4 linked regions of the Lonchura striata genome follow. The protein of the gene in region 1 interacts with the protein of each later gene in a pairwise test. Links are inferred from orthologs where the notes say so. Each region holds a gene or a part of one and is shown in the gene's direction. Other genes may lie near its edges.

Region 1 (7,955 bases):
ATTAAAGCATACCAAACAAAGGTATTTACCTGTTCTATATCTGCTAAGATTTCAGTGACACCTACTCAGTGGTCATTTACATGCCGTGCTGTGTATGCCAGTAAGAGGTATGCTGGAGGGAAAAAAACCCCTTGCAAACATCATAAATAAGAAATGAAACACTCCCCCAGACCTGGGTCTCCAGTGCACATATATTAATTACACACCAGAGGGTAAAGCCTCAGTATGTGCAAGCATTTAATTCATTATTTGCATTTATTAAAAACATTCCTTTTCACTTTAACAATAAAGTAACCCAACAGTGAAGTAACAGCAATTCAAATGCAGTCATTTACAGACGTGCGGTTTCTTGTGCCCATTGTACAGTGCAGTGCTGCCAAGTCTCACACCTTAGAAGTAAGCTCCTGCTCTCTCCTCTGTCACACACATACATGCACACACATACAAAATTTACATGTCTGCTCTCACCTATACTCTTTTGGGAAAACCCACAAATTTCATCAATCTCACTCTACAGATTTAAAAATCCTGGCAGCTTTTGAATAGCTTTTCTTCATCAGCTGCAATTAAGTGTTGGAAAAGAAATCCAAAATACACAGAAAGAAACTTTCTCCTTAATAGGAAATGTTAGCAATAGTATGGGATTTCTAATATGTTCCAAAGTTTAGCCACACCATCATACTGGAAGGCCAAGACTGCATGCCCTGTGATTAGGTTCCCTTAAATGCCAGGCAATTCAGTTTTGTCAGCCATAACATGAAACATTATTTATAACTATTCAACTGTTTTAAGAGTATAGTTAATAGTTTTCTGTAACATGATCTTAAAGAAGTTGATTAAGTGTGCTTTACAGCATGACCAGAAAGAGCTTCCGATTAGTGACATCAGTATATATATTTTACATCTCACATGACCCACACTTTTAAAACTTGGAAGTGTTGAAATAGGAGTCAAACCAAAATGAAATCAAATCATCAGAACTGAAGCATTTCCTTACCACACTTCATCAATATCATCATGTCATGCCAATAGACTGAATATCCACAACATCAAGTACCTCTCCCTGGTAATAAAACCTAGAAATATATAATTTTTCTGTCACTCACACAAAACAAAGATGGGCCTCAGAGGGGAGGAATTCAGGGATGGTTCAAAAACTCATCATGGGTTTGGTTCAGACTACAGTAATACATAAAGTAAACAAATGAAAGAAAAAAAATGTTAGGCTCTGGATTGAATAAAAGTTCACATCTATCCAAGGTTAAACAGATGTGACAGGGATCCATTTTTAATTTCAAGGCTCTAAATTACTGGGGCTCAGAGGTTGAAGAAGATAGTGTAGTTATAAAAACAATGTTTTGCAAGCACCCCAAACTCTGTTCCCTAGGAGTCTGTAATTGCTCCGTTTCCTTTGGCAATTCTGGTTAACTGCATGTTTTTATTCCTCATTCATCTCATGCCTGAGGAGGGACTAGTCTCATCCTAGCAATGTCTCAGTATAATTACAAAGCAGGGAAATTTTTGCATCCCAAACCAAATTTCAAACTTATTTGGAATCTAGTGATGTTCAAATCCAGTTACTGAATTCTGAATTCACACACGCTTTTAACTTTATTTAATATTTCTATCACAACCACAATTTTTATTTGCCAGCTTTTTATTTCCACGTCAATACCCTGGTGAAATGTATTTGACATATATTGCTTGGAGATTGTGCATATAAACACAAAAAGAGAGAGAGCAGGGATTTTTTTCAGCCTGTAGAAGAGGTGGGCCTATTGCTATCGACAACCAGCTAAGCAAAGGGTGTAGAAAAGATGGAACAGAATTTTCTCCAGAGGTCCACAGTGAAAAAACAAGACAAGAGACAAAACTGGAACATGGGAAATTGATACAAAGAAACATTTTTACAATTAGTGTTTTCAATCACTGAAAGAGGTTCTTTAGATGACATGGAATGTCTCCATCCGTGGAGACATTTGAAATGGGACTAGGTACAGCCCTGATCAACATGCTCCTTCAAGCTGCTCTGGACATCCCTTCCAACAAACATGGTTTTAATTATAAAAATATATATATATAGTATAATTAAAAAATACTTGACATTCCCAGTTTGTTTTTCTTTTAAATATGCATAAATACTGCCTAAACATTGATATTATGTGTTTAAAGTACATCCTGCACATGAAAACTGCACATAAAAACTGTACCATTTGTGGTAAAGTACTGGCTTGAACAAAACCAGTTTCCTGTTACTGAAATCAGGGATTGGAAAGCTGAAAACCAAGCCAGAAGGAGATGAGATTATTGTCACCATCCCTGTAATAAGCTTTTCTAATTAGTGTGTTAGTGTTAAAAGAATCTCAAAAGAGTAAGATTCTGTTAGAAATGCTGATATCAAACTTTTTTTTGGTTTTAAATATTTTGCAGAAATGTAAGTAAGGATAGAAAAGTAGTATTGGAGGGGTTTTTTGTTTTGTTTGGGTTGTTTGTTTTGTTTCTTTCTTTGTTTGTTTTCTTTCTGCTCAAGAGCAGGTTTCCTGAAAGATTTATATCACATGGATTAATTTCAGGACATAGTATCTGTCTAGCAAATCAGACTTATCAAGGTGGTCAATCATTAATTCTCAGCCAAGTGCAAGTATCACTGGTTCCAGTCACATTTTTCTTTATTCAGATCTATGTACAAGGACATTTATTATTGATTCTGGGATCTCTGTGCACCACTTGTCCATTTTGGTCAAGTATTTAATTTCTTGACATGGCAATAAAATTAGAAGAGGCTCTCCAGCATTTTTCTGTAAATATCTATAAATTCTAGAGGGGTAGGATTGGCATCTAAATCTAGCATGTAAAAGCATACATGAGAACACATTAAACCACACATTTATTTTAGTCAGAAATGGTTTTATATTTTATATATAACCACCATTATGTGGTTAAGAAGACAAGTTTAGAAGTTTAAAAATACTGAATTATGAGGTTAATATGGCAAGTTTAGAAATTTAAATTTTCCTGAAAATTATGGATATAGGTACAAGAAAAGGCAAGATAATTCTCAATTTATTTGTCCTATTGTTATATATACACTTTTCATGTTAATGTCAGCATTTCAGTAGGTTTTTTTACCTTTTCCATATGCATTAAGCAATAGAAATAATAACTGAATACCGAATTATGAGTAAACCATAACTGCCTTTATTGACTGAATGAACATTTATTAAGTGAACATGGAAATATCTCAAGTTTCTTAAAAAACTCAGAACTGAGAAGTATTTTTTAAAAAAATTAGGAAACAGAAGTGGGTTGTTTGTTTTTCCAGGCATTCATGTATAAAGATTTTGTTAGCTGCAAAAGAAAATATTTATTTCAAATTTCTCATCATATTCCCACAAACCTGCATTACAATGGCTTTAAATGAAAGCAAAACTACTTTGTCTTTACCAACGCTGACATTCCCCAGCTGGTGACTGTAAACCCTGAGTTCTTCCTAAGTTCCAGCCCACACGAGAACAGAGAACAGTGAGTGTCTTGTGACTATTAGACAGCTCTTTATCACATCATACAGAGCAAAGTGCAGCAAGGAGAAGAAATGGATGGCTGAGATAAGAAGGAACAGCCCTTTCTACCTCCTTACAAATATTTATTGCTGAACAAAATACTGGTCTCATTTTCCACTATAAAAGTTCATCTGGTCTTACATGACAGATTGCTCTACATACACTTCTCGTGTCTTCTAAAATGATCAGTTAGTACTATGCAGGGAATTTATTGGTTTCCAGGGAAACATGGAATGTATGGATGATATAAGAGATTATTCATTGTGGCTACAAATCAAAAGATAATCTAGTAATCTGTGACACACCTTAAGACACAAGACTGTTTTCAGAAACAAAAATGCAAGTACAATGAATTACCATAATTACTTAAATACACTTTCTATGCTCCAGCTTAGTTTCATTTCTGTTAGGATTGAACATGAAAAAACAGGTGAACTTGAAACAGAAACCTAACTCAATAATTCAAATTATTAATCATATTATTTGTAATAACACTATGTCTCTCCACATAAACTGTTTGTTTTAAATACACATGAAAACACGTAAGAAATGGTAGCAGCAAAGAATTTAAGATGATCTTGAAGACAGTTTGTAGTGGCAACGAACACTGGGTGCACTGGTCAACACCGTGACTCTGGTCAGTGCTCTACGAGCTGCTTTTTAATGAAAATGGAGAGGACCCTGTGAAATAGTTGCGAGCATAGTCAGAAAAGCCTTAATGCCCAAACCGTTTAAATCCAGATTGTTTTAAAACTATCAGATGTGGTAAAAGGTATTAATCCTGTATAAACTTGTGGCAACTAGTGGTTATGGTGGTGGAGTCACAATCTCCTAGCGGTGTTCAAGAAACAACGCGCCATTTAGCGCCACGGTCTAGCTAACAAAGTGATAATTGGTCAAAGGTTGAACGCAATGAGCTGAAAGGTACTTTCCAACCTTAACGAATTAGGTTGGAATTCTGTGCTTCCCTGGTTCTCCGAGTCAGCGTTGTGTGTGATGTAACGCCCTACCATGGCGATCCGCCAAGGTACCCAGGCAGAACCCTTTACAGCCACTCCTATCTCACCCCTCCGTTGCCCCGGGAAGACCTGCAAGGCTGGCAGATTAACGGTGATCTACAGGGTGGCGGCACGCCCGTGTCCTGACGTGGGACGGAAGAGGAGACGATTAATTCGGGTAAGTGGGTGCGACAGAGGTGATGTTGTAACCACGGACAAGGCGGGCGGGCACCGTGGGAGCGCTGTACGGAGGTGAGGGCAGCCCGGTCGGGCACACGCCGCGCACAGCACTGTGCCCGCAGCCCCGAGCCGCGCCCCCGGCCCGTGGGAAGCGGAGACCACCGGGCGGCTCCCCGGTGCCCAACCGGATCCGTGTCGGGCCCGCCCCGTGCGGGCAGGGCCGGGCTGGAAGTGACGCGGGCGGACGGGCGGAGCTGCGCGGCGCTGGTGGCCGAGGCCCCATGTTGATGTCCCCGGTGCCCTCCGCGTCTGCCTAGGTAAGAGCTGTCCGTGGCCGGCTGCGGGTCCGGGCAGGGCTGACACGCTCTTTCCCGCCGGCCTCCGGCCGCTTCTGGGCCGGGCCGTGCGGCCGGGCCGTGCGGCCGCGGCTCTGCGCCACCGGCCCCCGCTAGCTGTTCGGGCCGGCCGTGTCGGTAGGGGAGCGGCGGGGCCGGGCTGCGGGAGCCGGCGGGGCTCCCCGGCCCGCGGGGGAAGAAGGAGGCCCGGAGCCAAGGTGACCGCGTCGGGCAGGTGGCGGAGCAGCGGCGGGGAAGGGGCGGGTGGGGACCGGGGGTGTCGGGGGCCCGGGACCGCAGCTGGAGGACTCCGGGAGGAGCTGTCTGTGCTGGCGCGGCTCGTCCTGCTTTTGTTTTTCCTGCTCGACGAGCTTTTCCTCCCTTTCACCGTCCTTTCCGCTGCGCAAAGCCAAACGCGTCGTTTAGCCTTCCCGTGGGAAGCGCTTGTCACGTCGGTAATGAAGCCTGTGCGTAGCTCTTCCTCCTCCTCTCCCGTTGCCTAGCCGGTAGCTGTGAGTTAAGCAAGCAAGTACCCAGCATCCCCATAACTATCCTTGAACTGTAAGTAGATCTGACCATCACCTAAGCCCCGGGGATTTTCCTGCTAGGCAACAGTAATCCCAGATGATTGTGCTGGTCTGCACAAGTTAGATTTGTGAGCAGTTCTGCTTTAGGGTTGGAAACCAGTCTTGCCTTTACTGGTTCCTCTAGGGCTACTGCTCAGCTGCCACAGCTGAGCAGCTGACAATGTGCAGAAACAGATAATTTTTTTTCCTTCTGGTTGGGGTTGGGTGTTTTTTGTTTTTATTTTTTTTTAATTTTTTTTTTTTTTAAATTTAGTTTTTTTAATATGTGCTTAGGCTGAGCTATACAATTTTAAAGACAGATTTACTGAAAAATCAATTGGTTTTATTATTAATACTGTTTACTCTTTTTTGTACTTATTCTACCTAATGAAAATGTCAGTGTTATTTTGGTAAGTTACCGAATTACTAAAAATGAATGAATTTGTTGCAATTGAAAATAACTAAGGTTTTTCTTTTAGAGCCATAGATAGTGCTGATGCATACCATTTGTAGTTCAGACTGAAATTGAAAATGTTATTCTCTGTTTTGAGATGTGTGGGAGTTTTCAGGATTTTACTGTGCTGTAATATTTCCTATTCTGGACTATGAAGCTACATAACTGATAGGATTTATTGTGTACCCTGTTGTCTCTAGAAAACTGTATTTTGATCTTTACTCAGTTTCCTGCTTGTGGAAGTTCCTTGTTTTTCTTCTACATCTATTCATCTTCACAAGCTTTGTGTTTTATCTTGTACCCCGTGTTGGTCAGTATACAAGACTGTTTTTTTATTTAACATCTGATACATTGAAATAATGTGGCTGCCCGCCCCTATGTACCTCATGTGTTACTCTAAATTGTGCAATAATAAGCTTAAAATTTTGATGGCTTAAAACTAAAAAAAACCTTTTGTATTTACCTTTTCGTTGTTTTGGGTGATGGATACGTGTTTACTTCAGAGTGCAGTTTGTTTCAGAAAGCACAAGGTCTTTGCTACTTATTTTTTAACTGGTGAAATTTTAAAAGGCTATAGGAGGTATGCAAACACCTTTTCATATTTGAACTACTTGAGGCTTGCAGTAGCCTGTCTCCTTTTGGTTTTGGTTTCTATATGTATCTTCAATGAAAGTAGCATATTATGTCACACGCTTGGCAGTAACCTCTTTCAAGCTGTGAATGTGCTTGGTTGGTATAAAATTACTTTCAACAGCAATTGCAAGAACAGGGTAGCTCATCTTTCCAGAAATGTCAGCTACATAAGGCCCTAATCCTCCTAATATCAAATGTTTTGACAAACTGTTGATTATATAATGGAGTCAGACATTTGAAACTTTTCAGTTGCATATTATTCTATTTTTGGTAGATATTGCCGAATCTGAGGAAGGGATGTTCTTCTTCTGCTTGTGAAGCATCTTGTGTTACTGTAGTTGTAGCACTATGTATCCTGAATGAGGTGGTAAATGGAAAGAACAAAAGCTTTTGCAGTCCAACTGATTAGTGTTACTCCCTTCAACTTCGCGCATACCTCAATGTTCCTGCTATCAATGCAGGCCATTGTTTATGGTAATGAAGCTAAACACGAAGTATGTGTTACAGTGAGAATAGTAAAAGATGTCCATAGACTGCTAAACGGGGGCAGGCGAGAGAAAAGCCAGCCCAAACAAACCCTCCTATTTACATAAACTTTCTTATTTTTTAAAAAAAAGTCTTGAAATGGAACTCTGATGCTTTTACTGAGAGGGGAGGAAAAACTTAATGTGTAAAAATGCTGTGAAAAGCACTGAGCAGTACAGATTTGAGAAAAGTTTGAAGTGGTGAAACTACAGAATCTCCTTCTATAGCACGTCTAGACCATTAAGAATCTTTCATTAAATTAGAACCCTGCTTTGTTTTCACACCACTGCTTTTATTTTCCCCTTTCTGACACTGAGATATACTAGGGACATTCAACTAAGCAATGCTTTCTCTTCATCTTGATGTCACTGCTGAAATGACTGCTCTTTTTATTCTGCGAGGTGGTTGTTTTGGAGAGATGCTGAGGCAGTGAATTTAGTCTATGGCTCTCTGTTTTCAGAGCAGGGCAACTAATTATTAGGCTTTTCTGTCGTACATATTTCTACTAGATTAATTTTTGTAACTTCACTTGTTTTTCCACTATGTTCAGGTAACAACTTCTACAATTTTGTTACAGATAACCATGTCATCCTTTCAAGAAGTTCCGTCTTCAGCTAGCACTTTGCAGACCTCCAATTTTGCACACGTGATTTTTCAAAATGTCGCGAAAAGTTACCTTCCAAACACACATCTTGAGTGTCACT
Region 2 (7,077 bases), on another chromosome or scaffold:
TAACAGAAAGAACCAGGATAATAAAGGGCTGTGCAAATCCTTACAGTAGTAAAAATATCTTGAATCTAAGCTGAGAATTTATTTTTGTCTTTGCAGCCAATATACATGAGCTTCCCCTACTTCATTCACAATCCTGTGAACAGTGGGTGTTTTTTTGGTCCTTATTTGCTTATGCCTCTTTCTCAGAAGCTGAGAAGTTCACTATCTCAAAGGTCTGCTAAAAGCCTGATCCTCTCTAACCATCAGGAAACACCTACCATCTCGTGGTGAGAGGTGATACTACAGCCCTCGCATGTCTCCCTTGAAAATGCAGCAGAGCTGAGGGCAGGTGAGCTCATCTGTAACTGCAGAGACTCACCAGGGATATCCAGGAGCAACTGCAAGGAAAATGATGAAGGCGTGAAGGTAGAGTTCTAGGGATCTTGGGTTTGGATAACAGTCCCCAAGTTTGGAGAACATCATACAGTGTTTCCTGGCTTTTATCTCCTAGGTAGGCAGGGATTGAATCACTATGTGCAGATCGTGGCATAACTGCCTGGGGGTGGGGGTATGCTGGGGTGTGCAGACAGGGCAAGCACAGGCACAGGTTCACTCTCCTGTCTACTGCAACACAAATGAAGGAGTGATCCTGACTACTTCAAGAAACCTAGAGTGTCATGTCACTGATTTAAGAAAGGAGGGGTGAGTATGTTTTAAGAGTTATATGGCCTAGAATTGGTTTTCAGAAGGTCTAATGACTTCTTGGTACCTTTTTTGTCCTTTGGCCTGCATATCTATTCTGTACCTTGTTTGCTCTTATGCTTCTCTTAAACATTTTGCTTTAAAAAGTAGGCATTGCAACAAAAAATAGAATACTTGTTAGTTCCTGAAGCAGCTGTATAATTTTAAGCTTTTGGATCTGTAAGCTCATTTTAAAAACCATGACTTTTTGTTTCCTGTGATTTGCAACTTTAAACTGAAAACTGGAAGATCTGAATGATCACTGAAGCTAAATAGTGACGTATCAAGGAAAAGTTATGGAAGGCCACTGATAAACTCGTGGCTAAGTAAAAGCTGAGCCAACTGGGCTGTCAGCTGAAATTTTAATGTTGGTGTACCAAGAGGACTCATGTCCTCCTTGAGTCTAAAGCTTTTCAAAGAAACTAGGGGAATAATTTCCATGAGAAATGCTGTAATGCACAAACAGCTCCACTAAAACTACAGAAGACACAACAATGTCAGTCTTTTGAAATCATAGGACATCCTTAAGCATAAAATGTCTGCTGAACAGTCCAATGTGCTAGAGGCTTTACACCTGTGGCCTGTAGTACTGTGTAATCTAGGGGAAAATAGCTATTCAGGTACAACAGCACTATAGAAAAATTAGCCAAGAGTAACTTCCATGGGAAAATGTCTTAATGGAGACTAGTGCTTATTTGTTTCAAGTCTAGGGAATTCCATTATTGATGGAAATTGTATAATTGGAACTGTGCATAAAATACCAGGCCAAATAAGTATGACTATGTATGTTTTCACCTTGACTTTCAGCCATGGCTTGCTACCCTGAGAGAGACAGGTTACAGGCTTGGCATCAAAGACAGGAGAGGCAGGTAAAATTTCTTAGGGGTAACAGGGTCCTCTATGAAATACTACATTATGGCCAAGAATAGCTGCTATATTTACTTCAGCTGAAATTGGCTGTATCTGTCTTGACAAAGCATTTCTGTTTTTCCAGCAAGCAAAATTCTGCTGGAACATGGGAAGTCTGCTGATAGGATTGTACATAGTCCCAGCAATGGCTGAGTGCACATCAAATTTAGAAGAAAAAGCCTGAATTAGGACTGGGACTGTGGAAATAAGGGAAGACTTTGTTATTTGCTGTCAGGACTGCCATTAGTAAATGGTGCTAAAAATAGCAGTCACAAGAAATCAGCAGGATCAGAAGACAGTCTATGAACAAAACAACAGCACTTTAGCACAAAGATGCTGAAGCTGTAAGCCAACTGACTCATTGTCAATGCTACATTAGGTTTGGGTGCTGAAATAGGGGCTTCCCTGCAAATTTCATAAACTGCCTATGACTCAGCCTAAAATCACATAATCAAACAGCTGTTCTGCTTCAGTAAGGAACTGGTGCATAATACAAATCACTGTATTTCCTCTGGATTGTTTCTTCCCAAAAGTAGAAGAGCCCTGAGCAAGAAGTAGTAAAGCAGTAAAACTTTATTTTCTGTGGTTCTAGAAACACTTCTGCTTATTGCTATTCCTTTCAGCATCATATTTTTTTATTCCAACCTTTCAGCATATTTTCTGTCTTTCCTGTTTGACCTGAACTTTCAAACCTGCTTTGAGGTTGCAGTCTCATACTGACAATTGAGTGTATTTCATGTATTTATGTAAGTCTGGTTTTATTAAAGTGCTCTACTCTTTCAACTAGAGTGCCTGGAAAAATAGATTCAAAGAAAAACTAAGTGGTAGTTTATTTGTTCTCTTTTTAAGTAGCGCTGTAGAATTATGTAGAACAGTTGAATAGCAGGCTTTTTTCTGGCAGCTAACTATACACTGTAGTTGTCAGTCCTCTCTCACAACCACTCATGATTCTAAGGTACCTTTCCCCAGGCAATCTGCTTTGCTGCTTTTTTATCCAAGCACCTCATTTCTACCGTTCTCCTCAAAAGAAGTGTTATCATACCTTTCTGTGAACAAATCCTTCCAGTTTTATATAGGTAAGCTGAGGTACCCATAAAAGCAGCAATCCTACAACTATCAGAAGAATTCTAGCAAGTAGATAGATGATTTGAGATGGGGCTTCTGTGTCGGTTAATTGTGGAATAAAAGACTGGATATTATCTAGCTAAGATACTCTAGTGGTCTTTGTGACAAGTGGCTGAATGCCATTCTAAATTCTCTATAACCATATACACTGCTTTTTGCAAGGCAAAGAAATACTGAATGCCTTTATTCGAACAGGAGATGGTGATTTAAGCTTATGAGCCTTTTATATTGCACTCTTTATTTTTGTGCTCATTTTTTCCCCATCCAGTGTATTAACAGAGGTTGTAGTGCTTCTCTGAGCAGACTGTTTGTTGTTACACATAATGAGCTATAAAACTGCAAGGGGCTTTGTTGGCCTTCCTGCTTACCTTACCAATCCTACCAAAATCACTCTTAGTGGGGCTTGCAAGGGGACAGGAAGATAGACCACAGCCTTGAGGCAGACGGAAGCTGGCTTGGGACAGAAATGACCACAGTCATTGTGGGTCACTGGAGAGCCTGGAGAGTTGAGCACAGAGAAACCTAATGAGGTTCAACAAGGGCCCGTGCAGGGTCCTGCACCTGTGGAGGAATAATCCCAAGTACCAGCACAGGCTGAGGGCAGATCTACTGGAGAGCAGCTTGGCGGAGAAGGACCTGGGAGTGTTGGTGGGTGAAAGCTGACCATGAGCCGGCAGCGCCCTTGCAGCAAGAGGGCCAAAGGTGTCCTGGGGTGCATTGGAAGAGTGTGGCCAGCAGGCTGAGGAAGGTCACCCTGCCCCTCTGCTCCACCCTACAGACGCCACATCTGGAGTGCTGTGTCCAGTTCTGGGCCCTGCAATACAAGACAGACAAGGAGCTCCTGGAGAGGGTCCAGTGGAGGCCACAAAGATGATTTGGTGTCTGGAGTATCTCTTAGGAGGTGAGGCTGTGAGAGCTGGGCCTGCTTAGTCTAGAGAAGGCTGAGAGGGGATCTCATTAATGCATAGAAATATCCCAAAGGTGAGTTCAAGAGGATGGTGCTAAACTCTTGATGCCCAGTGAGAGGGTAAGGCGCAATGGCCATAAACTAAACCCCAGGAATGTCAGGGAGAACTTATGCAGAGGGTGGCAGAGCACTGGGCACAGGCCTTCCGCGGAAGCACACTACACGCAGGAAGGCGCAGCCGCAGGGGACGGAGCGCAGCGCACCTCACGCGGTGTCAGCCCGCCCGCCACAGCGCCCCCTCAGCCCGGCCCCGCGGGGGGCGGCGCCTGCGCGCGCCGGGCCGGCAGGCCGCGCGGGGCACGCGCCCCAGCCCCCGCGCGGGCGGCGCCGCGGTGACGTCACCGCGGTGAGGGCGGGGCCGGGCGCGGCGGCGATGGCGGCGGCGGGGCCGGGCGGGCGCGTCCCGCGGGGGAGCGGGCGCTGCTGAGCGCCGCGGGGAGTCCTGCGGTAAGACACCGTGCGTGTCGGGCAGAGGGACTGCCTCGGTTCGCCGTAAAGCTGAAGTGGCCGAGGTTGCTTCGTCCTGTGTCCTTCCAGTGTTCGGGAGTCTCGGGTTTATAGCGGAGGACGGGGGACACCGCCAGTGTTTTGTACTTTAAGTGGTTGAAGATGTCCAGAAAGCGTCTCGGTAATTCTCTGTGCAGAATCCTTGTTCGCACTGGTGCCAGATCTCGCTTTAATTGTAAGGACTGGCCGGAGTTACCCTCATGAAAGTAACTCATGAGCGACACATTTTCTCTGTATCACAGTGGGAAGCCTAATAACCGCTTATTATTATTTTTGGTCTCTGTGGCTTCCTGTTTGTCTGTGGGAGATATTTCCAGCCCCTGGGAATGTGTGAGATAGCAGGGCACCAGGGAACCTTAACTTGCCGTGTTGCAGGTTTGGTGTAACACGTACCCTGGTGGTGGTGGCAGGAGGATACAGGAGAGCTTTGCAGTTGCACGTCCTTTGGACAAACAGAGCCTGAATTGCAGCTTTCCTTCATTATTGCGACCTTGCCAGTAAAACAGTAATAGGCAGATAAGAAAACTCCTAACTCATCACTTTGTCATAGTGCCACCTGCTCTTGGCTCTGCCAAGATCCTGAGCCAGGATCCTCTCCTAGCAGGATCTAGATTCCTGCTGCAGGCACAGGAAGTTCAGATAGCAGGATACAGCTGAGCTGTAAGTTTCGTTTTTGTGGGGTCTGCTGTTGGACTGTACAACCGTAAAGGCAAAATTATTGTTTGATTTGGTCTTTATTTTCTCCTTTTAAAAATGAAATCGATAAAACATGCCTGCACAGGCAAAAGTGAATTTATGGTAATATCCCTTGAGAAGATCAAAGGGCAAAATAGTTGTGCAGTGTTGAGACCTTATGTTCTCTGAGTTGTATTCTAGATACTGGTCTTAAGTGGGTGAGTTAATACCCATCTGGTCCAAATCTTCAACAAGACTAAGTCAGATGTTGCAAAATGGACCACTCTATTAATCATTGCAGAAGATTAACCCCTGTGGAACAGGCCACAGACCTTGGAGTTTTGATTTTGTGTTGTTTTGGAGTTTTTTCTGTTTTGGTTTTATTTTTTTTTTTCTTCTCCGTTAACATAGCTTTCTGTTCTCACACAATAATGTGGCTAGAGCCTTCACCTTTGACTTTTTCCCTGTCTGCTTGTTATCACCACATAGTTTATATGCTACCTTATTTCTCCAGTGTATGCCAGAAATAATACTTGGTAGTTTCAATTTGGCCCTGAATTTTGGACACTTTGTTAAAGGATTTGCTAAAGAAGTTGCAATGTAGCTGAGTATACTCACAAACTTTATTTCTTATTAATGTTGTGCATTTTGTTATAGTTTTATAAATTTCTGTTATTACTTGTGGAGTTCTGAGATTGTATGTGTTAGAGGAAGAAATGTAAAACACCCTCTGTTTCTCTTCTTTGCCTAATATTTCTTAGCTTTATGTAAGATAAAGGTGGAAAAGGCAAGGTCACTTGCTAAGGCTTGTCTGCCATGGTAAATCTGGGGATAGCACACTCCTGTTGACATTGTTTATCAGTGGGGCATCTCAGTGCTTTAAGAAAGCCTTTTAATTTCATATTTCAAAACTCTAGCAGAGGTACTGGAAAGATGTTTGCATACTTTCTTCTGCTATTTGTAGCTGTACCTTGGAGGGTTTTAATTCATGTTGTGTTGTTTTGTTTCTCTTTAATTAAAATTTTTGGGGTTTTTTTTGGTTTTTTTGTTTTTTTTCCCCGAAGGGGTCACTCCTTTGGTGTTGCCTGATCAGTGAGTTCTCCAGCAGTGGCCACACAGAACTGACAGACCTGAGCTGGAGGTGGGAAGATGACATCCTTAGGTGCACCACAGGAGGAAATGTGTAAACTGACCTTGGATACACCACAGAAAGAAATGCTTGAATTGCCCTTGGATACATCACAGAAGACAATCAGTAACCCGGTAACTCCTCTGTCATGTCGACAGTGTCTCCCTTGGGAGATGGGACTTTGCTGTTTTATATCAACAGTACTGTTTTGCACAGTGAGGGATGCTACTGAGAGCTCTGCATCACTCAGGTGTTTGAGGGAGAATGTCACAGGTGACATGAAGAGCTGATGGTGTTTAGAAATTGTGCTGTAAACAAATGGACAGGACTTCCAAAAGAGGACAGACGTTCTGTCAGCCTTGGAGGATAATCCTGTTTCATGTACAGCTTACACAGATGTCTGGCATTTTTGCAGAATATGCTGGAAAGTGAAAGTATGATTTGTTTTCACTCCTGATTCTCTGTAAATACGGGTGGGGTTTGGCAGCTCTCATGAAATGTTTATTTTGTTGTGCCTGTAACTTCAGTCTGAACAACTAAACTTGGAATCTTTTTTCATAGTTCATATCTTAATTCATAATAAATCCTGTTTTCTACGGAAAACTTGAACTGACATGATTCAGCAATTGCAGAGACCAGATTTGACAGGATTTTGTTTGCCTGGCTCAGAGTCTGGAAACTTTCTCTGAAAAGTTCTAGCATTCTCATGGTCTGTGATAGCAGCCTGACTTGGGCTTACCATAAAGGGGTGATCTGAAGCTGTGTTTTCTGTTGTGCCTTAAAAAAGGTCATTCATTTGAACCTGCAGGAAATAGTATTTTTACCATTCTGTGCTAGATCCCTTTAAAAATACCAAAATCAGTAAAGTATATATGTGGAACGTGCAGTGGCACAGACCTGCACAGGACTTCCTTATCTATTGCAGCTTTGCACTGTCACACTCTTGGGTCCTCAGTGAATCTGACTGTTTATTCCCAGTGTATGGTCACTGCTGCAAAGTGAATAGAGTTAGGCATGAGGTTTCAACCTCCTTCAGAAGAATCCA
Region 3 (6,991 bases), on another chromosome or scaffold:
AATGAGGGACAGAAATGAAAGGGACAGAGGCGGCAGGAACTGGAGGAAAGAGGTGACAGGAATGGGAGAAACCCTGGAGAAAAGAGATAAGGAGGGAGGAAATGGTGAAGTGTGACAGAAAATGTGGGGCTGAGGGTTGGAAAAGGGGAACTAAGAAGACGACAAAGATGACAGGAGGGGACAAACCAGTGCCCACCATCATCATCTGCTGTGTCCCTACCGTGTACCCCTGTGTCCCCTCCATGTACCCCTGTGTCTCCGCTGTGTACCCCTGTGTCCCCTCCATGTACCTCTGTGTCCCCTCCATGTACCCCTGTGTCTCCGCTGTGTACCCTTGTGTCCCCTCCATGTACTCTGTGTCCCCTCCATGTACCCTGTGTCCCCTCCGTGTACCCTCCGTCCCCTCCATGTACCCTGTGTCCCCACATGTTCCTGCAGGCTCAGTGATGGACCTGAACCCACGCAGTGAGAGGCTCTACAGCCAGGACCCCCCAAGACCGCCCTGTGTCCCAGTGTCCCCCCGCCCCAGGGGCCAGGCGGTCTCGGGTGTCCCCAGGAGGGGCAATGTCCCTGCGTCCTGCCCAGTTCCCCCCTCAGGTCCCCCTGGGGGGATCCCACAGCTGGAGGTGCTGCTGAGGCAGATGCACAGCCTGCAGAAAGGTGAGTGTGAGGAGCCCTGTGCTCCCCCATATTCCCATGTCCCACATGCCCTCCTGTGCTCCCTCATGTGCCTGCCACGTCCCCCTGTGTCCCATGCGTCCCTCTCTCTGTCCCACCATGTCCCACAGTCCGTGAGACCACGGCACAGGAGCTGGTGAAGGCACAAGACTGCAGTGAGGGGTTGCGGCAGCACCTGGAGCAGCGTGAGTCACCTGGGGGGACACTGAGGGGTCTGGGGGATCCCTTAGGGGTCTGGAGGGGGACACTGAGATGTTTGGGGGATCCCTTAGGGGTCTGGAGGGGGACACTGAGAGGTTTGGGGGATCCCTTAGGGGTCTGGAGGGGGACACTAAGATGTTTGGGGGATCCCTTAGGGGTCCGGAGGGGGACACTGAGAGGTTTGGGGGATCCCTTAGGGGTCTGGAGGGGGACACTGAGATGTTTGGGGGATCTCTGAGGGGTCTGGAGGGGGATATAGAGAGGAGTTTTGGTGGGGGACACTGAGAGAGGGTCTGGAGGCGGACGCTGAGGGGTCTGGGGACACACAGAGAGGGGTCTGTAGGGTCCTTGGGTGGTGTGTAGGGATCCTGAGGGGTTTGCGGGGACAGAGGGCTCTGAGCTCATTGCCCCCTCCCCACAGTGGACCAGCGCAAGGAGGCACTGGAGAGGTCCTGGCAGCAGGTGCAGGGTGAGCCCAGGGGCCTTGGGGTCTTTGGGGCCCCCCCAAAACCTCCCCTGATGCCCCCTGGACCTCTAGCCCCCTTGACCCCCATGATTCCCTGACCCTTGTGGCCCCTCCTGACTCCCCCACACAGAGGGACCCCCTTGGCCCCTGTGACCCCCTGACCCCTCTGACCTCAACCCCTGTGACCCCCTGTGACCCCCTGTGACCCCCCAGAGTCACTGCAGAGAGCGCAGCTGCAAGGGAAGGAGGTGGAGGCCAAAGGCCAGAGGTGAGTGGGAACACCTGTGACCCTCCTCAACCTCACCTGTGCCCCCCCCCCAAAACACACCTGGTGGCCCCTGACCCCCCACAGGCACTGCGGGCTCTGCCTGGAGCAGCAGCAGGACATGGAAGGGACAAAGCAGCACTGGAAGCAGCTGAAAGACCTGCGCCGGGGACACAGGTGGGGCTGAGGGACACAGGTGGGGCTGGGGGACACAGGTGGGGCTGGGGACACAGGTGGGGCTGGGGGACACAGCCTGAGGGACACAGGTGGGGCTGGCGGACACAGGTAGGGCTGGGGGACACAGCCTGAGGGATACAGGTGGGGCTGGGGGACACAAGTGGGCTGGGGGTGGCACCAGGTGACCCACACAGGTCATGTGGCCACCGTGTCACCCCTGTGTCCCCTCACCCTCAGGTGGCAGCACTGCCAGCAGCTCGAGTCCATCATGGAGGAGCTCAAGCACCTGCGTGTCACACACGTAAGCCCGGGGCTGGGGTCCCTCACACACCTGGGGGTCCTGGCACACCTGGGTGTCCTGGCACACCCTGGGATCACACACCCTGTCCCCTGCTCCGTGTCCCCCTCCCACCACTGTCCCCCCACAGGCTCCGGCCCACCTGGAGGCTGAACTGGTGCAGCTGGAGAAGATGGAGGAGAAGTGGCTGAGCTGGGGTGAGCCCCTGACACCTGAATGACCCCCAGGACCCCCTTCAGACACCCCAGTGACCCCTGCCAACACCTGAGTGATCTCCTGACCGGCCCTGGGCCACCTGAGCCCCTCTCCCACAAGCCCCTGAGTGACCCCCTGGACACCTGAGCCCCCCCAAACCCAGGTGTGCCCCCTTGGGCTGACCGGTGTCCCCCCCTTGCGCAGAGCGCCGTGTGATGGACACGGAGGAGCAGCTGGGCCCACAGGCACCTGTGCTCAGGTGAGTGCCCAGCTCTGGCCCCGCCCCGCCAAGGTGGCCCCGCCCACTCAGGCCTGGCCCCGCCCCCTAACCCCCATTCTCGCAGGCGATTGGTGCAGCAGGACCAGGAGGGGGCGGAGCGACAGCTGGAGGTGGAGCTGGGCCGGCAGCAGCTGAGCCGGCAGCGCCGTGACAGGTGTGTGACCTCTGGGACAGGTGTGGGACAGGTGTGGGACACCTGGGACAGGTGTGGGACCCCTGGGACAGGTGTGTGACCTCTGGGACAGGTGTGGGACAGGTGTGGGACACCTGGTACAGGTGTGGGACCTCTGGGACAGGTGTGGGACAGGTGTGGGACCCCTGGGACAGGTGTGGGACAGGTGTGGGACCCCTGGGACAGGTGTGTGACCTCTGGGACAGGTGTGGGACAGATGTGGGACACCTGGGACAGCTGTGTGACCTCTGGGACAGGTGTGGAACACCTGGGACAGGTGTGGGACCCCTGGGACAGGTGTGTGACACCTGTGACAGGTGTGGGACAGGTGTGTGACACCTGTGACAGGTGTGGGACAGGTGTGTGACAGGTGTGTGACACCTGGTACAGGTGTATGACCTCTGGGACAGGTGTGTGACACCTGGGACAGGTGTGTGACAGGTGTGGGACACCTGGGACAAGTGTGTGACCTCTGGGACAGGTGTGTGACAAGTGTGGGACCCCTGGGACAGGTGTGTGGGACAGGTGTGGCCCTGTCACCTGGCCCCACCCACCTCTGGCCCCGCCCCCAGGTTGGCCGAGGAGCTGCAGCAGCTGCAGCGCCCCCTGGAGGCTCAGCCAGAGTGATGGGGACAAGATGGACACACCCCACGGGACACCTGTGCCACACCTCTGCGTGTTACCTGCGCGCCACCTGTGCCTGCCGTGTTCTCATGTCCCCCATTGTCCCCCTCTGGTCCCCAAAGCTCCCCCATGTCCCCCATTGTCCCTCAAGTTCCCCCCATCCTCCCCACATTTCCCAATTGTCCCTCATGTCCCCATTTTCCCCCATGTCCCCAGTTTCTCTCCAGTGTCCCCCATGTGCCCCCAGGTCCTCATGTGCCCCAAAATGTCCCGCATGTGCCCTCATGTCCCCGATGTCCCTCATGTCCCCAGTTTCTCCCCAATGTCCCCCATGTCCCCAGTGTCCCCTTATGTCCCCATTTTCCCCATGTGCCCCCAACGTCCCCTCAGGTCCCTGATGTCCCCCATGTCCCCTAAAATCCCCAATGTACCCCACGTCCCGCTGTCCCCCACGTCCCCAATAAACGCCCTGCCACCACTGCTCTCTCCGGCGTCTTTTTTGCGACCGCGGGTGGCAATCCCCCCAAACACGGCGGCCCTCATGGCCGCCATCGCTCCCCTGGCCGCCGCCATGCTGTACGTCGTTCTCCCGTACCGGAAGCGGAAGTTGGTTCCGCCCCCGCTTCCGGCCGCTGCTGGGCCTAGCCCGGAGCGTCCCTCGGAGGCGGCGGCAGCGATGGTGAGGGGGGGACCGGGGGTGTGGGGGAGCTCGGGGGGTCTGCGGTGTCCGGGGCACCCCCGGGCCTGACACCCCCGCCGGTACCCCCTCAGGACAGCGAATTCTCGGACGCGGAGGCGGCCCCGGGAGGGGAGGAGAACGCGCCGGTTTATTGCGTGTGCCGCAAGCCGGACATCAACTGCTTCATGATGTGAGGGGAAATGGGGTCCTGAACTGCTTTGTGGTGTGAGGGGAAATAGGGGTCCTGAAGTGCTTCGTGGTGTGAGGGGGAATTGGGGGGGTCCTGAACTGCTTCGTGGTGTGAGGGGAACGGGGGTCCTGAACTGCTTCGTGGTGTGAGGGGAAATGGGGGGGGTCCTGAACTGCTTCGTGGTGTGAGGGGGAATTGGGGGGGTCCTGAACTGCTTCATGGGGTGAGGGGGAATGGGGGTCCTGAACTGCTTCGTGGTATGAGGGGGAATTGGGGGGCTCCTGAACTGCTTCGTGGTGTGAGGGGAAATGGGGTCCTGAACTGCTTCGTGGTGTGAGGGGAAATGGGGGTCCTCAAGTGATTCAGGATGTGAGGGGGTCTGGGGGTCCCCAAGTGCTTCATGATGTGAGGGGGGGTCTGAGGGGTCGCAGCAGATCTGAGGGGCCAGCTGGGGGTCCTGGGTGCTTTTCAGGGTGGGAGTTGGGGGGGTCCCAGCTTGTCTTGGCCCCTGGGGCTGTTGAGGGGGTGCCTTGAAGCAGGGAGGGGTGCAGAGTCCCCCTGGGGGGCTTCGGGGGTCCCTGGCTGAGGGTCTCGGTGTCTCCCCTGTCCCGCAGCGGCTGCGACAACTGCAACGAGTGGTTCCATGGGGACTGCATCAACATCACCGAGCGCATGGCCAAGGCCATCCGCGAGTGGTACTGCGGGCAGTGCCGCGGTGAGAGGGGCTGGGGGCTCTGGGGGGCTCTGGGGGGCTTTGGGGGGGTTCTGGGGGGTCACTGGGGAGTGGCAGTGCTGCAGTGAGAGGGGCTGGGGGCTCTGGGGGGCTCTGGGGGGCTTTGGGGGGGTTCTGGGGGGTCATTGGGGAGTGGCAGTGCTGCAGTGAGAGGGGCTGGGGGCTCTGGGGGGCTTTGGGGGGGTTCTGGGGGGTCATTGGGGAGTGGCAGTGCTGCAGTGAGAGGGGCTGGGGGCTCTGGGGGGCTTTGGGGGGGTTCTGGGGGGTCATTGGGGAGTGTTGGGCTGAAGTTAGAGGGGTGGGGGGTTCTGATTTGGGGGGGTTCCAGGGACACTTGGGGTCTGGGTGGTTTTTGGGGTGCCTGATCCCAGATCAAGTGCTCGGCCCTTATGCGAGGCGGGGGTGTCCTGGTGGGGTTTGAGGGGTTGCTGGTGGGATTCGGGATGCCTGACCTTGTTTTTGGGGTGCCTGACCCCGTTTTTGGGGTGTCCCCGGTGGTGGACCCCCTGACCCCTCTGTGACCCCCCTCCCAGAGAAGGATCCGTCCCTGGAGATCCGGTACCGGCACAAGAAGTGGCGGGAGAAGGAGCATGAGGGGGCCAAAGGGCAGGAGATGGAGCAGGGCCGGGCTGCCAAGGTGGGCTCAGGGGGTGGGGACCCCACTAAGGGGGACACCCCAATGCTGGGGGGAGGCTGGGAGGTGCCTGAGTCCATTGGGATGAGGATTTGGGGGACAGCAGGAAGCTGGGGGGTGCTTTGAGGGAGATTTGGGAGACCCCTGACCTTCTCTGGGTGCCTGAGATCCCTTCTGGATTGGGTTTTGGGGTGTCCCGGGTGGACTTTTGGGGTGCCTGACTCAATTTTTTAGTCTCCTGACCCTATTTTTGGGGTGTTTGACCCCAGATCAAGCACTCAGCCTGCATTTGGAGATTGCGAGGTGGGGGTGTCCCTGGTGGGATTTAGGATGTCCCTAATGGAATTTGGACTGTTCCTGATGGATTTTGGTGTGTCTAACTCAATTTATGAGGTGCCTGACCCCATTTTTGGGGTGTCTGACCCCATTTTTGTTTGCCTGACCCCAGATCAAGCGCTCAGCCCGTGTGTGTGGGGAGTGCAAGGCGGAGGTGACCCTGGTGGGATTTGGGGTGTTCCTGGTGGCTTTTGGGGTGCCTGAATCCATTTTCGGGGTGCCTGACCCCATTTTTGGAGTTCCTGACCCCATTTTCGGGGTGCCTGACCCCGTTTTTGGGTGCCCGACCCCAGATCAAGCGCTCGGCCCGCATGTGCGGGGAGTGCGAGGCGTGCCGGCGCCCCGAGGACTGCGGGCAGTGCGACTTCTGCCGGGACATGAAGAAATTCGGGGGCCCCAACAAGATCCGCCAGAAGTGCCGCCTGCGGCAGTGCCAGCTGCGGGCGCGGGTGAGCGGGCACCCAGCGTGTCCCCAACGTGTCCCCAGTGTGTCCCCAGCGTGTCCTTGGTGTGTGTTGGCAGTGGGGTTTGTCCCCTGTGTGGCGTGGCCTCAGTGCCTGCCAGGGCTGGGGGTGTTGGGGTGACCTTGGTGTGTCCCCGCTGTGTCCCCAGTGTGGCTCTTTGTCACAGTGTCCCTGTCGTGTGGCCTCTGTCACCACCTCGTGTCCCTTTGTCACCCTGTCCCGTGTCCCTTTGTCACTGTCTTGCTGTGTCCTTGTGTCTCTTTGTCACCTCATGCCACATCCCTGATGTGTCACGCTCGTGGCATGTCCCCGTGTCCCCCACTGCTCACGTGCTCTATGTCCCCAAAAACTGCTGCCTGTCCCTGTGTCACCCTGAGGTGTCCCCAAGTGTCCCCATGTCTGTGTGTCACTGTCCACAGTGTCCCTGACATGTTCCCAACATCTGTTATGTCCCTGTGTCACCTTGTCTCGCTGTCCTCACGTTCCATGTCTGTGTCACTCTTATCAGCGTGTCCCCGATGTGTCCCCAACATGTCTTGTGTACCCAAGTGTCCCGTGTCCCTGTGTGTTCTTGTTCTCTGTCTCTGTGTCTCCATGTT
Region 4 (7,782 bases), on another chromosome or scaffold:
CAGGCTCCCCAGGGAAGGGGTCCCAGAGCTCCAGGAGCTTTTGGACATCTCCTGGGACAGGGTGGGGTTGTTGGGGTGTCTGAGCAGGGCCAGGGGTTGGACCCTGATCTAGTGGATCCCCTGTGACTTGGGATGTGATTCTATGAGATCTCATGTGCCTGGGTGCAGCTTTGAGGCGTTTGCTCAGAACTCCCATCTGGAGCCCAGCTGGGACTGGCCCTGCTGGGGGGGTGTTGGTAGAGGAGGCCAGAGGGGCCCAAACCAGTTTGGAAGGCCCTGCTGTGGCACAGCTGAGCTAAAAGGAGCAGCTTTCTGCCAAGTCCCAACCCCAGACTCAGCTGAGGGTGTTGGGGGCCTGGGTGGGTGTGGGGGTTTTGTATTCCCAGTGGGGATTTTGTGCTGGGAGTGTCCCCTCTGTGTCACCCTTCCCTTTATCACAGAGAGAACACGCTGGAGACCTCGGGGAAAAGCCCCAGCCCCAGAGGCTCCAGAGCTGATTTCCACCATCACAGCCCAGTTTGGTGTCCCTAGGAGTCCCTGCCAGCTCGCCCTGCAGCAGGAACAAGAACCAGGCCAGGAACCCCCTCCAGCTGCCACCTCAGCCCGTCCCTGTGGCTGGGGACAGAGAGATGGCCCCATGGCCGGGGACATGGAGATGGCCCCAAGGCTGGGGACACAGGCCCCACCGTGCTTCCTGAACTGCTGGCCCAGGAGGGGAACACTGAGGACATTTCATGGAGGAGAACGCTGAGGCCATTTCACAGGGCAGGGGAACGCTGAGGACATTTCATGGGGCAGGGGAACGCTGAGGCCATTTCATGGAGGGGAATACTGAGGACATTTCACAGGGGAGGAGAATGCTGAGGACATTTCATGGAGGGGAATACTGAGGACATTTCACAGGGCAGAGGAATGCTGAGGCCATTTCACAGAGGGGAGAACTGAGGCCATTTCATGGGGCAGGGGAACCTGAGGCCATTTCACGAGGGGGAATTCTGAGGCCATTTCACACTGAGGCACATTTCACACTGAGGCCATTTCACACCGAGGCCATTTCACGAGGGGGAATTCTGAGGCCATCTCACACCGAGGCCATTTCACGAGGGGGAATTCTGAGGCCATTTCACACCGTGGCCATTTCATGAGGGGCAATTCTGAGGCCATCTCACCCCAGCCCATTTCACACTGAGGCCATTTCACGAGGGGCAATGCTGAGGCCATTTCACACTGAGGCCATTTCACGAGGGGCAATGCTGAGGCCATTTCACACTGAGGCCATTTCACGAGGGGCAATGCTGAGGCCATTTTACACTGAGGCCATTTCACGAGGGGGAATTCTGAGGCCATCTCACCCCAGCCCATTTCACACTGAGGCACATTTCACACTGAGGCCATTTCACGAGGGGCAATGCTGAGGCCATCTCACCCCAGCCCACTTCACACTGAGGCACATTTCACACCGTGGCCATTTCATGAGGGGCAATGCTGAGGCCATTTCACACTGAAGCCATTTCATGAGGGGCAATGCTGAGGCCATTTTACACTGAGGCCATTTCACGAGGGGCAATGCTGAGGCCATCTCACCCCAGCCCACTTCACACTGAGGCACATTTCACACCGTGGCCATTTCACGAGGGGCAATGCTGAGGCCATCTCACCCCAGCCCATTTCACACTGAGGCACATTTCACACTGAGGCCATTTCACGAGGGGCAATGCTGAGGCCATCTCACCCCAGCCCATTTCACACTGAGGCACATTTCACACTGAGGCCATTTCACGAGGGGCAATGCTGAGGCCATCTCACCCCAGCCCATTTCACACTGAGCCCATTTCACATTTCACGGCGCCCCGGCACCAGCCCAGCCCTGGGGCCTGAGGGCAGCCGGGATTCCTGGCCCGGCACCAGCCCCGTGTGCCCTTTCCTGCTGCCCCTGCTCCTGCTTTGGCTCCTATAAATAACTGAACGCTCGAAAAGCATTCCTGGAGTCCAGGGACTGCTTCCCAACAGTTCAGGCTCTCCTGCAAGCAGAACTGTGGGCTCTGGGAGAGCTTTGTGCCCTCACGCTGGTGGCGGGCCTGACCTCAGCCACCGGTGGAATGCCTTAAGTTTTACTTTTCAGATTTTCCACATTCTCTGCTGCATTGGTTCGCTGAGCTTCACATGAAGTGTCAGCAAGTTCTCCTCACAGCTCAGGCACACGGAACAATCCTTTTCCAGCCCCAGCACCAAGGACACTGCTGCAGCTTCAGCCCCAAAAAGTGCCAACAACAGGAGAGTAAAGTGGGAGGATGGGACTGCACAACCTGGAATTGGACAATGAACCCCGATATGGAAATGGACCCAAACTTATCAAAGTCTGAAACTCATGACTTGGAGTCCATCCTGGCTGTAGCCACGGCCAGGCTCCTGTACTGCCCAGGGTGTATCCTGTGAAGGCCTTTAAATAAATCCCCACTTTATTCCTTGAACTCTGTCTAGCCTTTAACTTCCTTTATTTATTTTAAACCCCGCTCTATCCCTTTAGCCCTGCCCAGCCTCTGCTCCAGGGCAGCCTCTGAGGGCAGCAGTGCCAGCTGGCCCTGCCAGCCCTGCTGGTGTCACTGCTGTCCCAGGGAGCAGGCAGGACCCGTGACAGCAGCAGGAGCTGCGGCAGCGCTTGTGTCCCTGCTCCGAGCCGGGAGGTTTTATTTAGAACAAACCAGAGGAACAGCACGTTTGTGGTCACGGCCTGACCGTGTTAGCCACGGGTCCGAGGGGGAATCACACTGTTCTGCACAAAACACAGCTGGGGCTGTGTGCTGCGGTGTCTGATCCCGGCCAGGAGGTGCTGGGCTGTTGCTGTGCTGTTTGCCAGCGGTGCAGAGAGCAGAGAGCAGCTCCTGCCATGAAAATCACGGAATTTGTGGCGGGGGCCCTCCGGAGGGGTGCCCTGCTGCTGTGCTGGGCCAGGAAGGGTTAATGGATTCTGGACACAAAGGGGAGGGGGATAAAGGAGCTGCTTTTAAAGGTCAGAAATGGGGAGAAATTCTATGGCACACCTGTTCTCAGCTGCTCCCTCCTGGCGAGTGTGGCCTGACTGTGCAATCCCTTTTTGGGGAATATTTTGTTAGTGCAAGGGTGAAACCACCACAAACTGGAACAGTCCAACACACCCTGTGTGTCTATCACAGCTAGATTCCTGCAGATTCTCCAGGAAAACCTCCTAAAATAACCCGCAGATTTGTCACACCACATCCTTTATGGTGTTTCTTACATCACTGTTATTTATGTTCACTAAATCTGATTTTTTTTTTCAAACATGCCATCAATTCAATTAGTTTTGACAAGATCTGATTTCCACAGCCCCATGTTAATTTGTATTAATTATATTCTCCTCCTGTAATTCTCAAAGTTAATCCAACTCCCTCACAGCTGTTACATCATTTTCCCAGGAATTACTGTCAACTGGCAACCCCATAATTACTGGGGTGGTTTTTTACCCATGGAAACATTGATATCCCTGTTAAATTATGCAATTTCTTTGCAAATTCTGTGGTCCTGCTAGACTGAACTGCAACAGTGACTCAAGCCCTTTGTGTTCAGCTCTTTCAAACTTTCTGATGTGAATTTCTCTATTTTTTGATCCAGAGCATTCTTTTTGTGTTTACTTCTTAGCAGCCACCTGAAAATGGAAAGGGTTTCTCGTTTCCTATGGGTGTAATTCCTGAGGGGTTTTTTTATCCAGCACAGAAATATTGAGTCTGCATTTACCTTTTGTCATTAACTTCTCATTTTTATTGTTTATATTTCCATGCAGTGATGCACTCTCAGCACGGTCAGAAATCTTCTGTTTGCTTCCTTTTAAAGCATTTCTGCTACAAATATTCTTTTTTTGCTGCTCATGCACATCTCCTTTTGCTCTTTGCTCCCTTGATCCGTCTCCTATAATTTCTAGATTTTGATTAGTGTCCCGTTTGATATTTTTTTCCCATTTTTTTTTTAATATCTTTAACCGCACTGGGAAGGGGGAACCCTTTGGAACCCTTCAACCCCAGGGGTTTTTGTTAATGCTTAAACAACAACCACCGACTTTATCTCACTGCATCCTTATCTCCACCCGGTGCAGTGGCTGAATTCCATTTGGGAAAACGCTGTGGGATGGGTTTGTGGGGACAGAATTCCATTTGGGAAAGAGTTCCAGGTTGGGTTTCTGGGAAAATGCTGCGGGAGGGGTTTGTGGGCAGAATTTCATTTGGGAAAACGCTCTGGGATAGGTTTATTGGCAGAATTCCTTTTGGGAGAATACTGTGGGATGGGTTTCTGGGCAGAATTCCTTTTGGGAAAACACTGCGGGATACGTCTCTGGGCAGAATTCCTTTTGGGAGAACGCCCTGGGATGGGTTTGTGGGCAGAATTCCTTTTGGGAGAATGCTCCTGGATGGGTTTGTGGGCAGAATTCCTTTCGGGATGGGTCTCTGGGCAGAATTCCTTTTGGGAGAACGCCCCGGGACGGGTTCCCGGCGGCCGCAGCTCCCCGCCGCCGCTGGCTCGGGAATGCCGGTGGCTCGGGTGGATTCCCAGGAACAGGTACCTGGCCCGCCCCTCCCAGCCCCGGGGCGGGAGCGAGGGGCAGGATCGGCTTTGGGCTCTGCCCACACCCACTCGAGTCGCGGCGGGCGGAGAGGAGCGGCCGGAGCGAGCCCGCACGGATCCCGCACGGATCCCGCACGGATCCCGCACGGATCCCGCACGGATCCCGCACGGATCCCGCAGCCAGCCCGGCATGGGGAACATCGCCTGCGTCCCGCAGGCTCCCGGCGGCTTCAGGAGCTCCTTCCGAAGGAAACCCTCGCTGAAGAAGGAGTGAGTAACCCCCTCCGGCTCCGGCATGCGGGAGCGGGGCTGGATCTCCGGCGGGATCTCTGCCGCTGGGGATTTCCTATTTCCCGGAGGTTTTGGGGGTGCTGGGCACTGCCGGAGCCCGGCACCAGCTCGCCCCGAGCGCCGGGGATGGAATTCTCAGCCGGCAGGGAACGCCAGCCCTCGGGAGAAGCGGCGCTGAGTTAATTTTTGTTTGGGTAATAAGGCTTCCCCCGGCGGGCCAGGGTGCAGAGCACCTGATATTATTCCCTGTTTTCACTTGTGAGTGTTCTTATTCACAGTTGTGGTACTGTTGTGAGAAAACAACATTCCCACTCCTCAGACTTTAGGGGAAAAGCCCCAAAATCCCAGCGCCCCGCCATCGGATTTGTGTTTGTAAACCCAAAGGAGGAGCGGCAGAAAATCTCAGTGCAATCTTTTGGGATTTGGGTGCTGGGCTGGCCAGGGCAGAGCTCAGGTACCGTGGCCGTGGGTGGCTGTCCCAAAATAGGACAGCCAGGGAATGCAGTGCAGCTTCCCAGCTTTCCCATCAGCACGTCCAGAGCTGGAAAAGAGCTTTGAGGGAATGAGGTGATTCATCATGAACCTGTCTGCATTGGGTTCAGTGTCAGGGGTCAAAACCACCCAAAAACCCCCCAAATCCCCCCAAAATTCTGCCAGGACAAGGGGTTTTTCATTGAAAGGAGAGCCTGAACTGCTCCCTTGGTGTCCTGTGCTGCCAGAAATCAGGGGCAAACCTGTAGGAGTTCCTGTGGGGTGAAAGAGAGGGGTAAAACATCCCTTGGGGTGTTTGGGGGAAAGAGAGGGGATCCCTTGGGGTTTGGGGTAAAAGAGAGGGGATCCCTCGGGGTTTGGGGTAAAAGAGAGGGGATCCCTTGGGTGTTTGGGGTAAAAGAGAGGGGATCCCTCGGGAGTTTGGGTAAAAGAGAGGGGATCCCTCGGGGTGTTTGGGGTAAAAGAGAGGGGATCCCTCAGGGGTTTGGGGTAAAAGAGAGGGGATCCCTCGGGGTGTTTGGGCTCTGGGGATCTCACATCAGGATGCTGTGGTGGAGCAGCCAAGCCCCAGAGCTCCTCCTGTCCCACTGACTCCTGGCTTCCCACGCCCGTGGGGATTCTCCTGGTTTTCTGCTGCAATCTGAGGAAGTCCCAGCTCTTCCCAGCAGCACCAGTGGCTGCCTGGGACTGGTGTGCACCCAGGGAGAAATGGGGGAGTGGAGGGAAGGGAGAGGGAAGCCACCATGGCAGAAATGAGCTCTCCCTGTGAATATCTGCCACAGATCTGTGCGGATCCATCCCCACTCCAGGGGCTCTCCAGGAGCTGGGTTTGATTTTTGTGCTCTGCCATGGAACATCCAGGCCCTGTGCTCATTTGGGGGCACAAGATGAGTGAAGATGATCATTTGGCTGAGCAAAGAGCTGTAAAAAAGCAGAAAAACCCCAACAAATGCAGCAAAATCCTGTTCCAGTCCTCCAAGGCTTTGTCAGCCCTGGCTGGGTTGGGATGACTCGAAAGCTTGTGACAAATTGCTTGCTTGGTGTCATGGCTTCCTTATTTCTGGGCAGGATTCACCATGCCTCAGCCTGGATCTCTGTTTCCATGTGTGTTTTGGGTTTTTTTTTCCCTTCCCTCTGTAGCCAAAATGGCAAGAAAAAGCTGCCCAGCTTCTTTGGGATAGACGGAGGCCAGGAGAGAGACACGACCACGGACAAAATCCTGCAGTATATTCCAGCCAAGGCAAGTTCCAGCACCTGCAACCCGCTCCCCACTGCCCGGGGGTTTATTCCCACCCGCCCCGAGCTGGGTTTGGCTCTGGGGCAGCAGCAGCCCTGTCCCAGGGAGAGCCAGGAGGGATGAGCCCTCCCAGCAGCCGGTCCCCGTGCAGGTGTGGAGGGCACCTGGCTGAGGCAGGGGTGCTGCTGGGAGCCCAGCAGGGACACGGGGACACGGGGACATCCCCGCCACACCACCTTTGCTCCGGGTTCTTCTGTTTCTGGGTCGGCTGCGAGGGAAGGGAAAAGCTTTGGCAGGTGGGATGATTCATTCCCACGGAGCAGGAGCCTGGGAAGGGAATCAGGAAGGGCAGGGCTGCCCCGGGCACGGCCCAGCCCTGCGGCCTCACGGCCCCGCTCCAGCGCCGCTGGGGGAACCGAGGGGAGCCAGCAGCCCCCGAGCGTTTGGGGGGTCCCGCTGGGTGGGCCGGGGCTGTGGGCGGAATTTTGGGAGCATCCGGGCGGTCATCGATCCCAGCTGTGCGCACGTGGGGAAGGGGAAACTGAGGCACGGCCTCGGTGCTAGGCAGAGGGAATTGCAGGGAGGGCTCCCTGTGGGAATCAGCTGGATCCAAAAGGATCAGGCAGCCAAAAGCAGGCCCCGGCCGGATCCTGGATTCCTCCTGGGGAAAGCAGGATGAGCTGTCAGGGTCAGTGGGTCCTGGGGAAGGAATCCTGGTGGAGGAAGGAATTCTCCCAGGAATTCTGGGAGAATGGGGAATGGGAATGGGGCTGGGAATGGAGCTGGGGAATGGGAATGGAGCCGGCCCATCTGGGAGCAGGGAGTGCAGGATCTCTCCAGGGATGGAAGGAAGGAGGGTGGAGCAGCTTTTCAGCCTTTACCCTGGCCTGGGGCAGAGGGGCTGCTGTGTGGCTGGAGGAAGCCTGGGCTTTGCCCCTCTCTCCCTGCTGGCTTTGGCCGCAGCAGCAGCTGCAGGGCCGGCTCAGAGCCGAGCTGCCGGCACCGGGCACCTCCGAGGAGCTGGCATCGCCACCTGGGACCGGGGCAGGTGACATCCCTGCACCTGTGGCACCCCCAGCAGCCCCTGCCCCGATTCCCGGTGCCAGGCGGGGCAGGATGCGCCCCAGGAGCCGCCGGTTTGGTGTTTTTCCCACGAAAGAGCAGCTCCTGCTCTTCCTGCTGCTGAT

Evidence for each region.
Region 2: the proteins of TAX1BP1 (region 1) and LGALS8 interact in binary tests that used the Homo sapiens proteins (3 or more experiments, as listed by UniProt). The link is inferred for Lonchura striata from reciprocal best matches to the Homo sapiens genes TAX1BP1 and LGALS8.
Region 3: the proteins of TAX1BP1 (region 1) and CXXC1 interact in binary tests that used the Homo sapiens proteins (3 or more experiments, as listed by UniProt). The two-hybrid records come from large-scale screens. The link is inferred for Lonchura striata from reciprocal best matches to the Homo sapiens genes TAX1BP1 and CXXC1.
Region 4: the proteins of TAX1BP1 (region 1) and PLEKHN1 interact in binary tests that used the Homo sapiens proteins (3 or more experiments, as listed by UniProt). The two-hybrid records come from large-scale screens. The link is inferred for Lonchura striata from reciprocal best matches to the Homo sapiens genes TAX1BP1 and PLEKHN1.

Annotation. Positions count from the first base shown.
Region 1 is NC_134603.1:123,123,133-123,131,087, reverse strand, and holds the start of TAX1BP1 (tax1-binding protein 1), read left to right. Parts: upstream 1-4,943; 5' UTR 4,944-5,055; intron 5,056-7,828; 5' UTR 7,829-7,834; coding exon 7,835-7,955.
Region 2 is NC_134605.1:45,720,410-45,727,486, forward strand, and holds the start of LGALS8 (galectin-8), read left to right. Parts: upstream 1-4,077; 5' UTR 4,078-4,168; intron 4,169-4,328; exon of another isoform or gene 4,329-4,349; intron 4,350-5,967; 5' UTR 5,968-6,052; coding exon 6,053-6,166; intron 6,167-7,077.
Region 3 is NC_134638.1:856,182-863,172, reverse strand, and holds the start of CXXC1 (CXXC-type zinc finger protein 1), read left to right. Parts: upstream 1-3,979; 5' UTR 3,980-4,032; coding exon 4,033-4,035; intron 4,036-4,127; coding exon 4,128-4,225; intron 4,226-4,839; coding exon 4,840-4,940; intron 4,941-5,491; coding exon 5,492-5,595; intron 5,596-6,221; coding exon 6,222-6,377; intron 6,378-6,991. UniProt on the Homo sapiens protein: Transcriptional activator that exhibits a unique DNA binding specificity for CpG unmethylated motifs with a preference for CpGG.
Region 4 is NC_134626.1:860,696-868,477, reverse strand, and holds the start of PLEKHN1 (pleckstrin homology domain-containing family N member 1), read left to right. Parts: upstream 1-4,765; coding exon 4,766-4,845; intron 4,846-6,498; coding exon 6,499-6,598; intron 6,599-7,782. UniProt on the Homo sapiens protein: Controls the stability of the leptin mRNA harboring an AU-rich element (ARE) in its 3' UTR, in cooperation with the RNA stabilizer ELAVL1.